Linked DNA regions of Saccharomyces cerevisiae S288C. The protein of the gene in region 3 interacts with the protein of the main gene of each other region in a biochemical or structural test. Each region holds a gene or a part of one and is shown on either strand. Other genes may lie near its edges.

The links.
Region 1: the proteins of CMK1 (region 3) and GPP1 form a complex in vitro, tested with the Saccharomyces cerevisiae proteins (2 studies listed by BioGRID, with this or other methods).
Region 2: the proteins of CMK1 (region 3) and CCT4 form a complex in vitro, tested with the Saccharomyces cerevisiae proteins (2 studies listed by BioGRID, with this or other methods).

What each region holds. Positions count from the first base shown.
Region 1 is NC_001141.2:251,193-256,367, forward strand, and holds GPP1 (glycerol-1-phosphatase GPP1), read left to right. Parts: upstream 1-3,922; coding exon 3,923-4,675; downstream 4,676-5,175. Other genes in the region: VHR1 (Vhr1p), read left to right, coding at 1-721; YIL055C (uncharacterized protein), read right to left, coding at 850-2,733; YIL054W (uncharacterized protein), read left to right, coding at 3,351-3,668; 60S ribosomal protein eL34 RPL34B, read right to left, coding at 5,034-5,175. UniProt on the Saccharomyces cerevisiae protein: Major isoform of glycerol-1-phosphate phosphohydrolase involved in glycerol biosynthesis. Plays a role in osmoadaptation and required for adaptation to anaerobic conditions.
Region 2 is NC_001136.10:195,942-202,082, reverse strand, and holds CCT4 (chaperonin-containing T-complex subunit CCT4), read right to left. Parts: upstream 2,088-6,141; coding exon 501-2,087; downstream 1-500. Other genes in the region: CRD1 (cardiolipin synthase), read left to right, coding at 1-364; YDL144C (uncharacterized protein), read left to right, coding at 2,351-3,421; COP1 (coatomer subunit alpha), read left to right, coding at 3,907-6,141. UniProt on the Saccharomyces cerevisiae protein: Molecular chaperone; assists the folding of proteins upon ATP hydrolysis. Known to play a role, in vitro, in the folding of actin and tubulin. In yeast may play a role in mitotic spindle formation.
Region 3 is NC_001138.5:168,061-175,642, forward strand, and holds CMK1 (calmodulin-dependent protein kinase CMK1), read right to left. Parts: upstream 5,818-7,582; coding exon 4,477-5,817; downstream 1-4,476. Other genes in the region: DCV1 (Dcv1p), read left to right, coding at 1-436; YFR012W-A (uncharacterized protein), read left to right, coding at 1,164-1,250; IOC3 (Ioc3p), read left to right, coding at 1,862-4,225; glycogen (starch) synthase GSY1, read right to left, coding at 6,205-7,582.

The sequences.
Region 1 (5,175 bases), on a different chromosome or scaffold from region 3:
ACCTAACAAGAGGGTTAAGAGAAGCCCTCCTGTCGTTTCAAGTGACGTTATGTTGAATAATAATAACACTCTATCGAATAGAGCTACACTTTTAACTACGCTACCAATGAAGCCTCAATCGGCCAATAAAGATGTTAATCGCAGAGTGATCATTAGATTTAATGATCGCGAGCAAGCCTTTACTTTCCACCAGTTGAGCAATGGACCACCCACGGTGTCTGAAGTTTTGGAAAACTGTAAAAATTTATTTAATATTATCAACAAGAACAAGAATTTTGGTATTTTCCATAACGATAACCTCTTGAACGATGAAAGTTTGGCAAAGTTATTTGATTCCTTTTCCACGAGCGAGATTCATCTCGTAATTAAGGACATTTCCACCATTCCACTACAAGATGCAAAAATACCAGTGCCCATTACGTTGCCCAAAATGTCATGCATAGGTGAAAACCCCTCTATGCCTTCTATTCCATTGGTACCACAAGAAAAAGATGATCCAAAAAAATCAAGCTTAACTGCCTTTGATAACATCCTTAATAGGATCTCTAAATCGCCAATGAATGAAGAAAATAGCAACACTACTTTAAACACTGGCACCTCCACCTCCAACACAAATAATAATGACCACAACGAGTCTGTGCCAGCGCCATACGTTACAAAGAACAAAAATTCTTTTCAAAATGGCAATTTACCACAGCCGGTTTTCCAGCCTTTACTTTGATAAAAATACAAAACAAAATTGTCTACATACATAACTGCCTAATACACATTCTACACAATATTTTTTTCTTTTTCAATTCGCGTACATATTTATGTAAGATAAAATAATAATATCCTCTTAATCCATGCTTAGAACTGCTGCCGTTGATTTTCAAATTCATCCTCGTCAAATGGTGGCAGTTCCATTACATGAATTTTGTACCCCAGTGAATATTCCTGGTCTTGTAAGGATTCGAACGTCAAATCAGACAGCTCTTTATCGTGGAACCCAACAATGGCATTATACACAATTGTGCTAACTTTAAAGTATTTCGCCTTGCTATCACCTTCGGAGTCAGAGACGTTTCCACTTTGTGCAAAAGTAGTTGGCAAATTTCTATTAAACTCCTCTAATTCATCTTCCGGTAATTCAAACCTCAGTAGAGTTGCTTCTTCATGATCTTCATAAACCCCTACATAGAATTCCCTTGTATTATTGATAGATGTTCGAGGTCCGCCATTTGTGTATGTGCTATTATTTGCACTCCCGTTGGTGTTCTCATTTTCTGATATCTTTAGAGCGTCCATAGATTCATTGAGTAAAGATGCTTCGTTTTGTTGCTGTAGAAACTGTCTTTCCTGTAGTCTTAATAGCTTGGGGCATTTCAGTTTTATAAAATCTTTTAGAACTGTCCATCTTAGCCTTCCAAATTTTTCCAATTGTCCTTTCTCTTTAATTTCAATAACTGTGAACTTCTCTTGGTTCATTAACTCATTGAAATCAGACTCTGATAATTTCTCCAAGAATTCTATAGGTATATAGGGTGGGAAATTTATGATCTTCAGCTGCCACATACCTCTATTCGTCATTTGTTTTCTAAAGCTTTTCTCGTTAAAGATATGCTTTAATCTTTTGTGATTTATTTGAGTTTGTGAAGGTGTAATTGTTCCACCATTCTTTGCTTGGAGGGCACGGTCATCACCATTCGTACTTGTAGTGGGAATATTACCATTATTATTGGAATTTGAGGCCATGTTCAAGTTGTAAAGGGCAGATATTTCGTTATAAGAGGGATTTATCTTATTGTTCCTTAAGGAGAGGTGATGCTGCTGAGAAAGACGAGGGCCTGTGCCAGTATCTGGATTCCTGGGGCTATTATGCATGTATTTTTGAAACTGGCTTTGGTTCTGGTGATAGAAATGCCGACGACGGGGATAGTGTGTAGGGGAAGCAAGTGGACCACCAGCAGTAGCAGCAGCTGTTGGTGAAGGTAGAGTAGTTTGATAGGGCATCTGCATATTAGGTACCGTTCCCGGAGGAGCACCCAACATAGGTAGCATCGAAGTCGAAAATGGACCATGAGGCGGGGGAGCAAGAGGTGGCACACCAACAGGTACGGGAACAGGCGTGGGCAATGGCGTTATGTTCTCATTCTTTCGAAGGCTCACTTCAGGAGAAAAACTGAAAAATTGAGAAGGTGGGGTAGAAGCGGATGGTGGCTGCGGTGTCACAGATGAAACATGGCTTGCATATCGAGGAGAAATAGATCTTTTAGTTTCATCGGGAGCACTCCGGACGTCATTGTTGCTATCACTGATTTCTGGATATCGCAGTGAAGGAGAATCATTAGTGTACGGCAACAGGTAAACGAACAGATCATGATAATCCCATTGGTAGGTGTTCAAAGTAAGTAGTAAGTTTTCCAGGGACTCGTTATCTATCGAGTTCTTCAGAATGACAATGCAACTCTGAAAAGTAATAAAAGGAGGAACCATGGAAGTCATTGGAGGCAGCATTTTCACCTGTAAAATATTGGTATGGTATATGATTCCGCCTATCAAATATTTTACCTGGGCCCAAGTCTTGCCCGGAGGGAGATTATCAATCCTTATGGGAATACCATTTGACTGCGAGTACGTCTTTTTCCTAGGAGCAGCTTTTGTGCTTGCTGTTGAGCTTTCGGTCGCAGAACGGGCAACAAAGGCACTGGCTGAAGCAGCCGACTTGGCACTATAGTGTGGTTCTAGAGTCATTATAAAGCAAGCGTATTGTAAGGAGAGACAGCAAACTCTCGTGTATCAGCCAACTGAACTGGAGGCCAAGACCAATCTAAAAAAAAAAAAAAATGAAAGAAACAAGTGTGGGAGGAAGTCTTGTTAACTTAACAGTTAAGCAAGCGTAAAAACCTTTAGGAAAGCGCACGAAAGAAGGCCAACATTACGACTATGGAATAATACAATGCACACAAACAAAAGGTAACATTTGAAAAATGGAGTAGAGAATATATTCCATTCCCCTAATTTTTTGCGGGTCTTCCAGGGCTGCGAACCCATCGCTCAAAACAAGCGCAGTGTCAATTAAGACATCATTGAACTAAAACGGAAAATTTGCTTGCGCCACACACCCTGGTCAATCGTACCAAGGGATATCACTCTGTACGGGTGGGAGGAAGGCGCGGCAATTAGAATGTGTGGGTGCGGAAGCTCGCCGCTCCCATCAAGAGAGTGGAAGACGTATGGTCTGGGTGCGAAGTACCACCACGTTTCTTTTTCATCTCTTAAGTGGGATTCTTACGAAACACGTCACAGGGTCAAAAGAAAGAGAACAAAAGCAATATTGTAATTGTCTCAGTCCACGGCAATGACATGGCATGGCCCCGAAGGCTTTTTTTGTCTGTCTTCCTTGGGTCTTACCCCGCCACGCGTTAATAGTGAGACAAGCAGGAAATCCGTATCATTTTCTCGCATACACGAACCCGCGTGCGCCTGGTAAATTGCAGGATTCTCATTGTCCGGTTTTCTTTATGGGAATAATCATCATCACCATTATCACTGTTACTCTTGCGATCATCATCATTAACATAATTTTTTTAACGCTGTTTGATGATGGTATGTGCTTTTATTGTTCCTTACTCACCTTTTCCTTTGTGTCTTTTAATTTTGACCATTTTGACCATTTTGACCTTTGATGATGTGTGAGTTCCTCTTTTCTTTTTTTCTTTTCTTTTTTCCTTTTTTTTTCTTTTCTTACTCTGTTAATCACTTTCTTTCCTTTTTGTTCATATTGTCGTCTTGTTCATTTTCGTTCAATTGATAATGTATATAAATCTTTCGTAAGTATCTCTTGATTGCCATTTTTTTCTTTCCAAGTTTCCTTGTTATGAAACGTTTCAATGTTTTAAAATATATCAGAACAACAAAAGCAAATATACAAACCATCGCAATGCCTTTGACCACAAAACCTTTATCTTTGAAAATCAACGCCGCTCTATTCGATGTTGACGGTACCATCATCATCTCTCAACCAGCCATTGCTGCTTTCTGGAGAGATTTCGGTAAAGACAAGCCTTACTTCGATGCCGAACACGTTATTCACATCTCTCACGGTTGGAGAACTTACGATGCCATTGCCAAGTTCGCTCCAGACTTTGCTGATGAAGAATACGTTAACAAGCTAGAAGGTGAAATCCCAGAAAAGTACGGTGAACACTCCATCGAAGTTCCAGGTGCTGTCAAGTTGTGTAATGCTTTGAACGCCTTGCCAAAGGAAAAATGGGCTGTCGCCACCTCTGGTACCCGTGACATGGCCAAGAAATGGTTCGACATTTTGAAGATCAAGAGACCAGAATACTTCATCACCGCCAATGATGTCAAGCAAGGTAAGCCTCACCCAGAACCATACTTAAAGGGTAGAAACGGTTTGGGTTTCCCAATTAATGAACAAGACCCATCCAAATCTAAGGTTGTTGTCTTTGAAGACGCACCAGCTGGTATTGCTGCTGGTAAGGCTGCTGGCTGTAAAATCGTTGGTATTGCTACCACTTTCGATTTGGACTTCTTGAAGGAAAAGGGTTGTGACATCATTGTCAAGAACCACGAATCTATCAGAGTCGGTGAATACAACGCTGAAACCGATGAAGTCGAATTGATCTTTGATGACTACTTATACGCTAAGGATGACTTGTTGAAATGGTAATTTTCTTTTATTTTTTTGATAAAACTACTACGCTAAAAATAAAATAAAAATGTATGATTTCCCTCCATTTCCGACCAATTGTATAATTTTATATCTGCATGACTTAATAATATAATATAATACTTATAAAATACGAATAGAAAAATTTAAACCGATGTAATGCATCCTTTTCTTTGTCGTCTTCGGATGATCTGCCGTGACAGGTGGTTCGCGCAAATCAAGCTGGTTTAGAGAATTTAACACAGAAATAAAAAAGGAAGATTCAATCTTCGTTTTTGTTTTATATCTTACTATAAAAGTGTTTTTTTTTAGTACGACGAGAAGTTAGAGTAATTATAAAAGGAATGCTTATTTAAATTTATTTCTTAGACTTCTTTTCAGACTTCTTAGCAGCCTCAGTTTGTTCCTTAACGACCTTCTTAACAATCTTTTGTTCTTCAATCAAGAAAGCTCTGACGATTCTTTCCTTGACACAGTTGGCACATCTGGAACCACCGTAA
Region 2 (6,141 bases), on a different chromosome or scaffold from region 3:
TAGAGATGTGCTACTAGCCATAAGTGCTTTGTTTATACGATATAGCACTTTAAAGTTGAAATATCCTGGTCGTGTGGCATGGAATTCCTATTGGGATATTGTTCGCTATCCCAGCGCTGAGGTCAGACCTTCCCAACTATCAAAATGGAACACGTTTTTCCAAATGGTATATCTTGGATCTGGAGTATTATTACTTTTATATGAGAAAGAAGAGGGCTGTGAAAAAACCGAGGAGGATTTCGAAGATAGAAAACAGGACTTTCAAAAGGCCTTTAGCTATTTAGGGTATGTAACCGCCACGACCACAATAATGAGCGGAGTATCCTACGCATTAAAGAGAAACGCTTTTAAACTTTTAAAATAGTATAATTGCGATCCTTTTTGAAAAGGGTCCTGACTTTTCATTTTGAATGTTTTTTAGTTTTTATGTAGTGGAAAATACACTAAATCAACATATATATGTATATATGCATAAACATATGGATACTGGGAAACCCATGTTAACGGCTGAATGCAATATCATCAATACGTAAGATGGATTTAACACATTCAGACGCTAAGGTAATTGCACTTGTACTAACAAGTACGGGTTGTAAGATGTGTTCTTCATAGGTGTTCGTAGTACCAGATCGTCTAACAGAGATACCGTCATTCAATTCACCATTTTCATGCTTAGAGCGCAATTCTGTGACAACTTTGATACTATTCAAACCTGCGTTTTCAGCCAAAGTCGTTGGAATAACTTCCAAAGCAGAGGCAAATTCTTGCCAAATAAAAGCCTGTACACCTTCCATAGACCTTGCTTCCTTACTCAACCTACGGGATATTTCAATTTCTGGAGCACCACCACCAGCGATTAAACCTCTCTCTTTCACTAGACAACGAATAACACATAGTGCATCATGGAGGGAACGCTCTGTTTCATCAATGATCATGTTGTTTGCACCACGAATAACAACAGAGACGGTTGGTCTTGCATTATTGTTTCTTATACCAGTTACTCTAACTATCTTGGAACCATCGCTATCGATCTCCTCAACTAAATCAGCGGAACCCAATCTATCTTCGGTGAACAATTCTATATCAGCAATTGGCTTACAACCCAAGCCCTTCGACAGAAACTCGATTTCTTCTCTCTCGATATCCTTTACCACCATTATGTTCAATTTTGACAAGAAATGAAGAGCCAAATCATTTACCGCATCTCTCAAGATGGATTTCTGAATCAACAGCACGTTACACTTGGCCTTTTTAATTTTTTTACAGATATTTAGCAAATACGCTCTTTCTTCTTTAAGGATCTTATCCATTTGTCTATAGTCATTAACGATGATATTATTTTCTGTGTCGGGCTTTGGAGGAGATATTTGGAATTGAATTAACCCAATCTTTGCTTTTTCCTTTCTTGTCGGACCACCAGCAGATTTGATTGCCGTTTGTGTCAAGACCACACCATCTATCATTTCTGTGTCATCAATGGTACCACCAACTTTTTTGACCAGTCTGATATCGTTCAGGTCAACATTCTTAGAGTTTTCATCAGATATCTTCAATACGGAGTCCACTGCCAAGGGCGCCAAAAACGAAGAGTATTGAGACACAATCTTGGAACTCAAAGAAGTGGATGCAGCACGAACCAGCTGTTCTCTATCGCTCAACGAAACCTTATGGCACATTTCTAAAAGAATATCGACAGATCTCTTCGCAGCACTTTGAAAGGAGTCCGCAATGATGGTTGGATGGATGCCCTTGTTTAACAGCCTCTCAGCAGCACCCAATAGAGCTCCGGTCAAGATCACCACAGAAGTGGTACCATCACCGGCTTCCGAGTCCTGCGCGGCAGAAACCTCTACTAGCATTCTGGCCACCGGATGCAGAATGGCCATCTGTTTTAGAATGGTGTGGCCATCATTAGAGATGATGATTTCTCCACGAGATGTCTTAATCATCTTGTCCATACCCTTGGGACCCAATGAAGTACGGATGGCATCTGCAACAGAACGTGCAGCGATGATGTTGGCTTTGCGAACCTCTTGAGGTTTTTCCTTGTTCTTAAACGTGGCGTTAGATGGAACTTTAGCAGACATCGTTCTATACTCTCCTTTACCCGTCTTGCACACTTGCCGCACCTCCAATTACAATTCATAACCTTCATGCCCACTTAGCTATATCAACCTCTTGAACTGTATTCAATTAGCCTTTCTTGGTGGCGAAACGAAAAAAATTTCAGTTTCCCCGTGGCAAGTGATAGTAATACCAAATTATATAGCCTTAATTAGGACATATTGATATACCTCATAAACTACAGTCCCGGTGCCAGGATACAAGTTGGCATAAGCTAATGTCGAAAATGTCTAGAATACTAGTTATCGGGGCAGGTGGCGTTGGGGTCATTACTGCGCTTTCGTTGTGGCTTAAGAAGGAGAGCGACGTTTCCTTGGTAGTCAGATCTGACTACGATAGGGTATTGAAGCATGGCTACACAATCGAATCATGTGACTATGGCCGGTTAGAAGGTTGGAGACCCCACCATATTTACAGCAGCGTCGAGGACGCTGCTTCTGCCGCAGACAACCAAGGATACAACTATATTGTAGTGACTACCAAGAACATCATAGATGGGCCCGTTAATTCAAGGGTGTCCAACATCATCAGACCTGTGCTTGAGAAGAATAAAGAGCTACATGGGCCGCAATTGACGACACACATTTTACTGGTACAGAACGGAATCGATATTGAGAAGGAGATATGGGCGGAATTTCCCAGAGAGCAGTATCGTTACACGGTGCTTTCTGGCATCCAGTTAATCGGATCCACTAAGATCGGGTCAGGCCATATCAGTCAAGTGGGCCAGGACCACTTATCGTGTGGAGCTTTTGATCCACAGGACGCTGCTGCTATCCAGGCTGCCAACGACTTCGTCAGGATGTACAGCAACGAGGGGCAAAACTTTGTCGAATTTGACCCTAGGGTCCGTTACTCTCGGTGGAAGAAGTTGCTCTACAATGCAGCTATCAACACATCCACGGCACTTGTGGGGCTAGACGTTCCGCGTTGCCTGGAGTTTGGGGTTAACAAGAAGAGCACAGAAATTGAAGTGTTCCACCCTGCCATGAGGGAGATCATCGCCATTGCGGCGAGTGAAGGCATCATTATCGAAGAGGAGTTCATAACGATGTTTACAGAGATTACCAGGAAAAAGGTGTTCAAGCCATCCATGTGCGTGGACTGCGAGAAGGGCCAATTGATGGAGCTAGAAGTCATCCTAGGCAACCCCATAAGAATCGCGAAAAGAAACGGCGTCGCTACACCCACTCTTTCTATCTTATACAACCTACTTGTGCTAGTACAGGCCAAACTAAAGGAGCGGAAAGGCCTATTGAAGTTCGACGAAAAAACTGCCACTCTTGTGGACGAGTAGTTCCAACCATTGCTTGCCTCGTTGACGAGCCTTCATCTAGTATATTGTAACACATAATTTAGTATGTACTCTTAACTATTATTCTTATTGTCAGCATTTATACGACGTACAGAGCGACCGAAAATTTCGACAACACGAAACGAAATCGACAATTTGCCAACTTGAATAAATAACAGATCCGTCTTCGAGACTGTGACGATTGAGCCTCGATTCAGTAGCATACAGGGACCACAAACTTGTTTGAAGAGGCATTGCAATTAGGTAAATCATAGAATTGGCGAAACCAGCAGGATTTTCCAAACATTTGTTACTTACCCCCTTCTTTGCTTAAGATATAAAGTTTTTTCTTTTTATTTTATCTTCCCTTTACACTTTTGAATAAAAACATTATCATACCTGTTTACAAATTCGCGGTTTATTTAACCTGAAATCAGTATACTTTTTTTCTTCTGTAGTGTCTTTGTTCATTTCATTACTGGATCAAGATGAAGATGTTAACTAAATTTGAATCAAAGTCCACTAGGGCCAAGGGCATTGCCTTCCACCCCTCCAGACCTTGGGTTTTGGTGGCTTTGTTTTCCTCTACTATTCAATTATGGGATTACAGGATGGGAACACTACTTCACAGATTTGAAGACCACGAGGGCCCTGTTCGTGGGCTAGATTTCCATCCAACCCAACCGATTTTTGTTTCGGCAGGTGACGACTATACCATTAAAGTTTGGTCCTTAGATACTAACAAATGTCTATACACCTTAACTGGGCATTTGGATTATGTCCGTACCGTGTTTTTCCACCGTGAGCTGCCTTGGATCATATCTGCTTCTGATGACCAGACCATAAGAATCTGGAACTGGCAAAACCGTAAGGAAATTGCATGTTTGACCGGCCACAATCATTTTGTCATGTGTGCTCAATTTCATCCAACCGATGACCTGATCGTTTCCGCTTCTCTGGATGAAACCATCAGAATTTGGGATATTTCCGGTTTAAGGAAAAGACACTCCGCTCCTGGTACTAGTTCATTTGAGGAGCAAATGAGTGCACAACAAAATCTATTGGATGGCTCTCTTGGTGACTGTGTTGTCAAGTTTATTCTAGAGGGTCACACAAGAGGTGTCAACTGGGCCTCTTTCCATCCAACTTTACCATTGATTGTCTCCGGCAGTGACGACCGTCAAGTTAAATTATGGAGAATGAGTGCTACGAAAGCTTGGGAAGTTGATACTTGCAGAGGTCACACTAACAATGTTGATAGTGTTATCTTTCACCCACATCAAAACTTGATCATTTCTGTCGGTGAAGACAAAACGCTAAGGGTTTGGGATCTTGACAAGAGAACTCCAGTAAAGCAATTCAAAAGAGAAAACGATAGATTTTGGTTGATTGCAGCACATCCTCATATCAATCTATTTGGTGCAGCTCACGATTCTGGTATTATGGTTTTCAAGCTCGATCGCGAAAGACCATGCAGCTTTATCCATCAAAACCAGTTGTTTTTTGTCAATGCGGAAAAGCAAATCCAAAGTTTCAATTTCCAGAAAAGAGTCGCTTCATTACCTTATGCGTCCTTAAAGGGTATTGGTCAACCTTGGGATGCATTCAGAAGTATATCGTACAATCCCTCCCAACATTCAGTTTTGGTTAATGAAGCTAATGGCAAATTTGCTCTCGTTATTTTACCAAAACAACCAGTTGGAGCTGTGGAGCCAACAAGTGTCACCCAAGATACAGGTAATTTTGCTACTTTTGTTGGTCGTAATAGATTTGTTGTTTACAACAAGAACACTGAATCTGTTGAAGTTCGCTCTCTCGAAAACAAAGTTACAAGAAATATCAAAGTAGAGGAAACAGTAAGAACTATTGTAGCTGCAGGTCCTGGATCTGTTTTGGTCATACACCCCAGAGAAGTTATTCTTTATGATGTCCAACAGGGCAAAAAAGTATCCCAATTGGCTGTTAAAAACGTCAAGTACGTTTCGTGGTCCTTAGATGGTCAATATGTTGCATTGATGAGTAAGCACACCATAACTTTGGCTACCAAAAAGCTAGAATTGATTAATTCTATGCATGAAACGATTAGAATCAAAAGTGCCGCTTGGGATGAAACTGGTGTATTAATTTATTCAACTTTAAATCATATAAGGTACTCACTATTGAACGGGGATAGAGGTATTATTAAAACTTTGGAGAAAACTTTATATATCACAAAAGTTCAGGGAAAATTAGTGTACTGCTTGAACCGTGAAGGTGAGATTGAAATTTTAACCATTGATCCTACAGAATATCGCTTCAAAAAGGCCCTGGTTAACAAAAATTTCCCAGAAGTTTTACGTCTGATAAAAGATTCTAATTTGGTTGGCCAGAATATCATTTCCTATCTGCAGAAGTCAGGTTACCCAGAAATTGCTTTACAATTCGTTCAAGACCCACATATCCGTTTTGATTTAGCTTTGGAATACGGTAATTTGGATGTTGCCTTAGATGAAGCCAAAAAACTGAATGATTCTAGTACTTGGGAAAGATTAATCCAAGAAGCCTTGGCACAAGGTAATGCCAGCTTAGCTGAAATGATTTATCAAACTCAACATTCTTTTGACAAACTTTCCTTCCTGTATTTAGTTACAGGTGACGTTAACAAACTATCTAAAATGCAAAATATCGCTCAGACTCGTGAAGACTTTGGAAGTATGCTATTAAACACCTTTTACAACAATTCA
Region 3 (7,582 bases):
CTGCTCTCGAGTACGTTTAATATATAACACCTCGAAAGAAATATTACCTGGCCCTTCTCTTGAACGTTGGTGGCTGAGTCCTAAGGCAAGACATACAATAGGAGGACTTTTGATTTCGATACCGGTTGCTACATGTTTGACTTTCATTTCTTTTGCACTTCCCTTGGTTATTATTTTTCTTTTTCAGACTGGAGGAACTAATGTCTCACTTATTACTTCCAACGCTATATTACACATATTGACACTTTTATCAACTATTTTTGCATGCACCGTGATCCTGTTACTTTGCATGCACCGTGATCCTGTTACAATTTCATCCTTATACGACTTGGTGTGGCTGGCTAACTGTTCCCTGTTCCCTCTGCTCGTTATTGGCGTGCATTTTCTCAGTTTTAGGTTTGATACGTCTGCGCAGTCAGACAGAAAACATAGCTAAAGAAGCTAGTATAGAGAACGTAGACAGTATTCTCAAACTATATGGAACGAGTCAAACATCAAGTTCCCTTGGCGAAAATTATCCACAAACAACTAAGGGCACAGACCAATCTGTGTATGACATCACAAGTCTTTTTAATGATCTACCAAGGACCTTAGATCCCAATCAAGATAAACTGGCGGTAACAAATCAAGATGAACCACCGCCTGAAATCAAATCTCCATTGAAGCAAGCAGGTTTGGTGAGTTTCTTCGCTCCAAAGTTGAATGGTAAACAAATATTTTCTAGAAGGCATGTTGAAAATCAAAAATCCTTATCTTTGGATGAAATCAATATAACCGACTTACCTGCAAAGCAAGAAAATGTGGAAATGCCTACTGAAAAAAAAAAGGCAAATATTTTATATTATGAGGGAATCTCAAGCCATTCACAAGATAACTACGACCCTCCTTGGTTATTTGGCGTTGAGGCTACCCAATCAGCCGATTGCTTTAAAATATATTCAAAAAAAAATCATTGTCTCACAGAGCCCCGCCAATATCAACTACAACAACCAAATAATTACCAGGATCAAAGTGAGGTTCCTCATAACTCTTTCATTCCTTGGTATTCCCGAAGAAGACCAGTAGGATACAACCACAATTACAATCGCTACTACTCACAGACAACTCATGGTAACAGCGAACACTCCCGACAAACATTGCCACAGACCTACAACATACACAGCATGCTCCCCAGAAAGTACAAGCCCGCCTACAAAAAACAGGCACATCGTGTGAAGAGTAATCCACAACCAGCTTATACTTTCCAATGACAAAATAACAAGAATAAAGTACTATCCAATCTGCTTTTTTTGTACGCGTTTTGTTGGCGCGCCGCAATTTGAAAAATAAGAATAAAGTACTTCTTGCTACTATTTAATGATTCCATCCGTATTCCACATCGTTGACGTCTGAGTCTGATAGACTAGTATATAGAAAATAAAAATAAGATAGAGTAAATAGTATGCTACTTTTATCGAGCCCATCTTTTTGAGCTTAATTTCTGAAACAAAGAAAGGAAGTGCCCATTTTTCCTCTTAACGGTTTCTAAAATTACTGAAGAGAAAACAACTTTTAGATGTAATTTATTTACATTAACATTAGCAGTGACTACAGAGGACAGGTATGGCGGTATGGCGGTATTTGTTAACATTGACTTTCCTTATGCGTGGAAGTACTAGTAATATTCCCTCTCGGATCATAAAAGTGAAATATCGTGCTTCACGATTTGCTGAAACTTTAACAAATTCATTGAAATTACGTGAGTTTATACTAATGAATGGACTTAATTTCTTAAGATGGTGATATCTTCCACATTGGTTTCGGCCAACAAAACTATCACTTACCAAGTACTTCAAGCAAAGTTTGCAATCCCCTATTGTTTATGGATTCTCCATCCAATTCTATCCAGAATTTGCAGCAAGAAGCCCAGGGCAGCTCTTCCGCACAGCTTGCTGACCATGATCATGATCGCGTATCAATGGCTATGCCCTTACAAACCGATCAAAGTGTTAGTGTTTCACAATCTTCTGATAATTTAAGGAGATCAAGACGTGTTCCTAAGCCAAGAACGAGCATTTATGATGAATACGAGGAAGAGTTAAAGGAAAGGGCGAATAAACCCAAGAGGAAGAGACCTGCTCCTCCTAAGAAAAAGGCACCTTCCACACAGAACTCTAAATCAAATGATAAAGTAGAGAAAAAGAAGACTACCTCAATTGCTAAGGATGGCAAACCTACACTGAAGACTAATGACAAAAAAGTGGCGCCGAAACCTAAACCAGCCCATGAACAAGTAGAACCCGCTTTGATCCCTAGCAATTGGACTTCTGTAATACCCTTGCTTACTTCTGATTTCAAGAACCAGTATAGTGTCATCTCTAGGTTAAAAAATCCGAACATGAAGCCTGTGCCATATGCTGGAGATATCATTAAGCTGATGGCGTTCATAAATAAGTTTAGTTCTTTTTTCCATTCTGACCTACAAAATTTATCATTCCAAGATTTTGAGGTCGGTTTAGATTTGTATCCCGGCGATCCTAATGGAAGCGCAGCTGGTATAGTGAAGGGTCCTGAAGACACCTCCTTATTGCTATATCCTGATTTTATGGCCATCAAGGATATCGTCTATTGCCAAGACAAAATGAATTTACTGTTCCTATCCTTGTTAGATTTAACATTTACTGAAAATTTTGATGGTAAAAGTGCCAAGAAGAAAGGTCCATTAACAACCTGGGAGAATCTAAAATCGTCCTCCAAGAAAGTATTTTCCAATCCTCTTTATCGGTTAAGACTTGTAGCTCGCGAATGGGGGTATCCACGAGAATGGCGTCAACAACTCCCCAGTGACCAAGATATCTCCAAACCTAAAACTGCTCTTTTTGAACAAGATGAACAAACACCAGTGGTGGATCCCAGTCATCCAGAAATTTTAACGCCAAATATATATACCTGGAATGCTAATGAACCACTCCCATTGGAATCAAATCCTTTGTATAATCGAGAAATGGACAAGAATGGAATTTTGGCGCTCAAACCAATGGATCGCGTTGTTTTATTGAGGGCGTTAACTGACTGGTGCGCTTCCCATTCATCTGCTATTCATGACGAGATATACAAATTAACTCATGGTAAAAAAGATCCCGTTTTTGGCATCCAAACACAACAAGTGCCTAGGTATACAATTGAAGGGGTAGATAATACCATAAATCAGTTTAAAAAACTCTGCTCACTAATTCAATCAAGATATGAAATCAGAAGTAAGAAAAAACATTTTGTTAAACAACTAAAAGAGGGTAAAAAACCAGATTTATCAAGGAAGCTAGAAATACTGAAGGAAATTAAAGCGGAATTGAAGAACGCTGTAAAATCCGAAAAGGATGAACTTTTGTTCTCACTGTACGACAAGTGGGTCCCATTGTTTGAAGGCGAATTACCTGATCAACCATTAGCCAATCCTTTTTCGGAAAGACTTTATAAATTGCGATTACAAGAGTTCTTCCTTGGTAGAGTTCCCCATATAGGTGATTTTTATATGCCAAGATTACACAGTTATGGGGACTCACTCGAAATGAGCACCTTCACTGATTTGAGAAATCTACAAGCATTGCTATCGAAATTCAAAAATAATGAATACAACGCTTTTACACTGTTTGAAAATGATGGACAATCGATGAGTGCCCAATTCAAATTGTTTTACCATGACACACCATCGTTGGCGCATGATGTTGCACGAGGCAGAAATACATCGGGGAAGGTTTATTGGTATGAATTATGCCACGATTCAGCAACACTGCTGGAGTTCTTGGAGTTCTTGGACTATAAAATTGTTAAACCTCAAGATGAGAAAAAGGAGGGAAATGAAAAAGAAAAAGAAGCACTGAATAATGAAGCGCACATATTGGAGCAGAAATCTACCACTGATAATAATCCCTCCATAAATACAAACCCGCTACCAAAAGACGCAAAATATAACACTGCGAGAAAGAAGTTACAGATATTAAAGGAATTTTTATCTGATTACTATTTCATTCTTCGTCAGTTTGAACAAATGAAAGTGCAATTTGCAGACATGAAGCCAGGCAAGAGACAGTTGAGAAGGATACAGCGACAGACTGTAAACTATAATACGGAATATGATAGCGAGGAATATGTCGATGATGAAGAAGACGACGAAGCTGATATTTATGATGACAACGACAATGATTCTTCTTTTGATGATGGTAGAGTTAAAAGGCAGCGCACTTAGACAACTAGCTTTCAACGAACGTGAAGATTGTGAAACTCCTTACAGGCTGCATTTCGATTAATTAAGTAATGTAAAATTAAGACTATTAGTACATAATTAGATACGCGTATCTTTTCAACTAAGGCATAAAAAAAAAAGGTAGAAAGTGAGGACGAAAAAGTGCAAAATATCAAAGTCAAATCTTGCGCATATTCGAGCTTACAAAGTCATTGAAGATTTATTCGCCAGTGTGGTAAAACGGCATACTGTTATCATTCTTCTGTTTTGGTATCCTTCCCCTCTGGTTTCTCCTTCGCCTCATCCAAAGACTTTATATCACTCCCAGGAAGATCGCTATCAGAACTACAGACTCTGTTAATATTTAAAAATTTTTCCTTTTCGGCAAGCACTGTGTTAACTAATTGTGCAAAAGCTTTGCTGGTTAACTCGGACTTCAACTTAGACTGTTCTTCTTCTGATAGCTTCTTGGATAGTTGACTGGTATCCGTTGCTTTCAATGGAGGAACTGAACCGTTTGCTTGACTTCCTTCGTCAAAATCTGAATCACTCTCTGTCTGTTCAAGATACAGATCTCTTAATTTCTGGATCTTCATGTTTAATCTGACTCTCTCAACAGAATTACGGAACTTTTGACGAGCATCCAATCCTTCCTTTAACCCAGGCAATAAATTGTGCGTCTTCAATTCGGTACAAATAATCCATGGATCTTCCAAGAGTTCTGCGGCGGTCGGTCTCTTTGAAGGATCCAAATTAAGAGCCTTCAAGATGAATTGTTTTGCTTTATTGGAAACGGAATCCCAATAAGGCCTATGAAACTTCACTGGATACTCACCAGTTGTGCATTCGTCAAGGAAATCTTGAACCCTTTCGGCTCTAAACGCCGAATAACCGCAAAGCAAAGTATACGTAATGACACCTATCGACCAAATGTCGCAAGGTTTACCATGACCGTCCTGAGTAAGTACCTCTGGAGCCACGTAACCCAGTGAGCCTGCCGGCTTATAGAGGAGTTCCTCATCACTTTTCAATCTCTTTGCGATACCAAAATCAGCAACTACCAGTGGAGATTCGTCACTTTTATCTATATACAGTAAATTTTCCGGTTTCAAGTCCCTATGAACAATATTCTGAGAATGCATATATTTGACTGCGCTCAATATTTCAACCAAAATTCTCACTGCATCTTCCTCAGTGAACTTACCCTTCTTCAAAATCCTATCGAACAATTCACCCCCTTTGGCTAATTGCGTGATAATGTAGAACTTGTCTTTTGATTCAAACCAATCCTTAAATGCCACTATATTTGGATGATGCAGTCTTTGTAAAATGTCTAACTCGTCGTATAAAGCCTCTAGCTGAACCTTGTTTCCCTTTAGTGCTTTCTTGATCAGGATTTTAACGGCCACGTCCTCCCCTGTTTCAGTGTTTTTGGCTTGTCTCACCACACCAAATGTACCAGCACCTAATGTCTTCCCAAAAACATATTTTTTTTTATTCACGTACGAAGCAGGCTGCACATGTGCCATTTTACCTTCAGAATCCTCCTCTGTTTGTTTTGGGGAGCTCTCCTTTTCTGAAACTTTGTCGTCCATAGTAATTGACTCGTTATTTTTTCTGGTGTCTTCCAATATTATATAATTGTGAGTTCTCTACGAGAATTGAAACCATTTATACTCTGGCTTGTAGTCGATGTGGCTTTCGTTCTTTTTATCCCCTGCGTAGGTAGCTCGGCTGCACCATTCTAAACGCGGGGGGAGTTTCTTTTTTTTTTTTTTTCAGCCTTTTCTTCGTAAGCAAAGTATCCCACGTAAAAGGTTCCTTATACTAACACATATGTACTGTAAAGGTAAAATTACTTCTATTTTTTCTACTGCTATTATTTCTATGTACTTATACAAGAATAACAGAACGTGCAATACTAAAATTAATTTGATGCTCAGCTAAAAGAGTAAGATATGTTAGCAGAAGTTAAGATGGTTTTAATTATCCTCGTAGTATGCAGACGTATCGTTGTCATCATCGTCATTGTCGATGGCTCCATTCGTGCTCAAATTAAAATAGTCATCTGCATTATTAGCATCTTGAAGGGTACCTAAATCGCCCGGAGTCATGTAAACAGTACTATTGGACCTTACTTTGGGGGATCCGGGTACACTCAAAGGCCTGGCAATCTTGAATTTCTTGCCACCGGCAAGAGTATTCATATTGGCGTCACTAATTGTTTCACCCACCAGTTGCTTGAACTGCTCTGGATAGGCCCTACGAAGACCCAACTGTCTAGCCTTAACGTATTCCAACCCCATTCTCTTCCAATCTAACAAGTCTGATAGTCTTTCGGTTCTGTTTCTTTGGTTGATTCTTTGTCTTCTGGTCTTGTTTACAAACTCTTCCATGTAGTCTGCTAATTGCTCGACAGATTCATCAGGGCTCTTGAAACGACGGTCTACAATATAAATACCATAGTCTTTCGCTTGGTCTGTTTCAATCAAGTCTTCCATGTAGGCACCGAACCCAGAAACGTTTGTTGTGATAGATGGGACACCCATGACGGTACATTCTGCTGGCGTGTACCCCCATGGTTCGTAATAGGATGGAAAAACACCCAAGTGACAGCCGCGAACAAACTCGTCATAATCCAAACCAAGGATAGGGTTATTGGCGTTTAAGAATTCAGGATGGAAAATCACTTTTACACGATCACTCGAATCATTGAATAATCTAACATGTCTAATTTGGTTTAAAATTGGATCGTTAGCATCATCGCACATGTTATGTGTGACTACCGGAGGCAATTCCCCGTAAGGTCTTCTCAGCGCCAATACCCTTTTCTTCAGCAAAACCTTTTCAGAACTCTTCAACAGCTCATCTAAATTAGTGGGCAACTCTGATTCTAGGCCATTATGAGGGTATCTCATCGTATGCTCGAAAATTCTCTTCCCAATGGATGCGGTGACCTCATTAACAGTATTTTCCAAAGATTTTACAATGGCTTGGCTTTTCAGTGCCTCCACAGTGAAGGAATTGGTTTTGGCAGGCATGATCAAAAACGCTACCACCGTCTTCTTGGATCCAGAAACCTTCAATCTGTAATTGAGACGAGCCAATGATTCAATGAACATGTCAGCACCTTTGTTTTTGTATTCATATCTACCAGCGATAAAGAAATAAACTGTGTTGTCTAGATCGAAATCAAAACAACCATGGAAATGGCCTCTGACGAAATCATTAATTTTGTCCTTTTTCAGGGCATGCAGATTTTGAAATTCATGTACTGCTTGAAACTTAACAACGTTCAAACCATTGGGCAAAATGCCATCCGGTTTCCTCTTCAACAAATGCTCCGCTTCTAATGCAGTG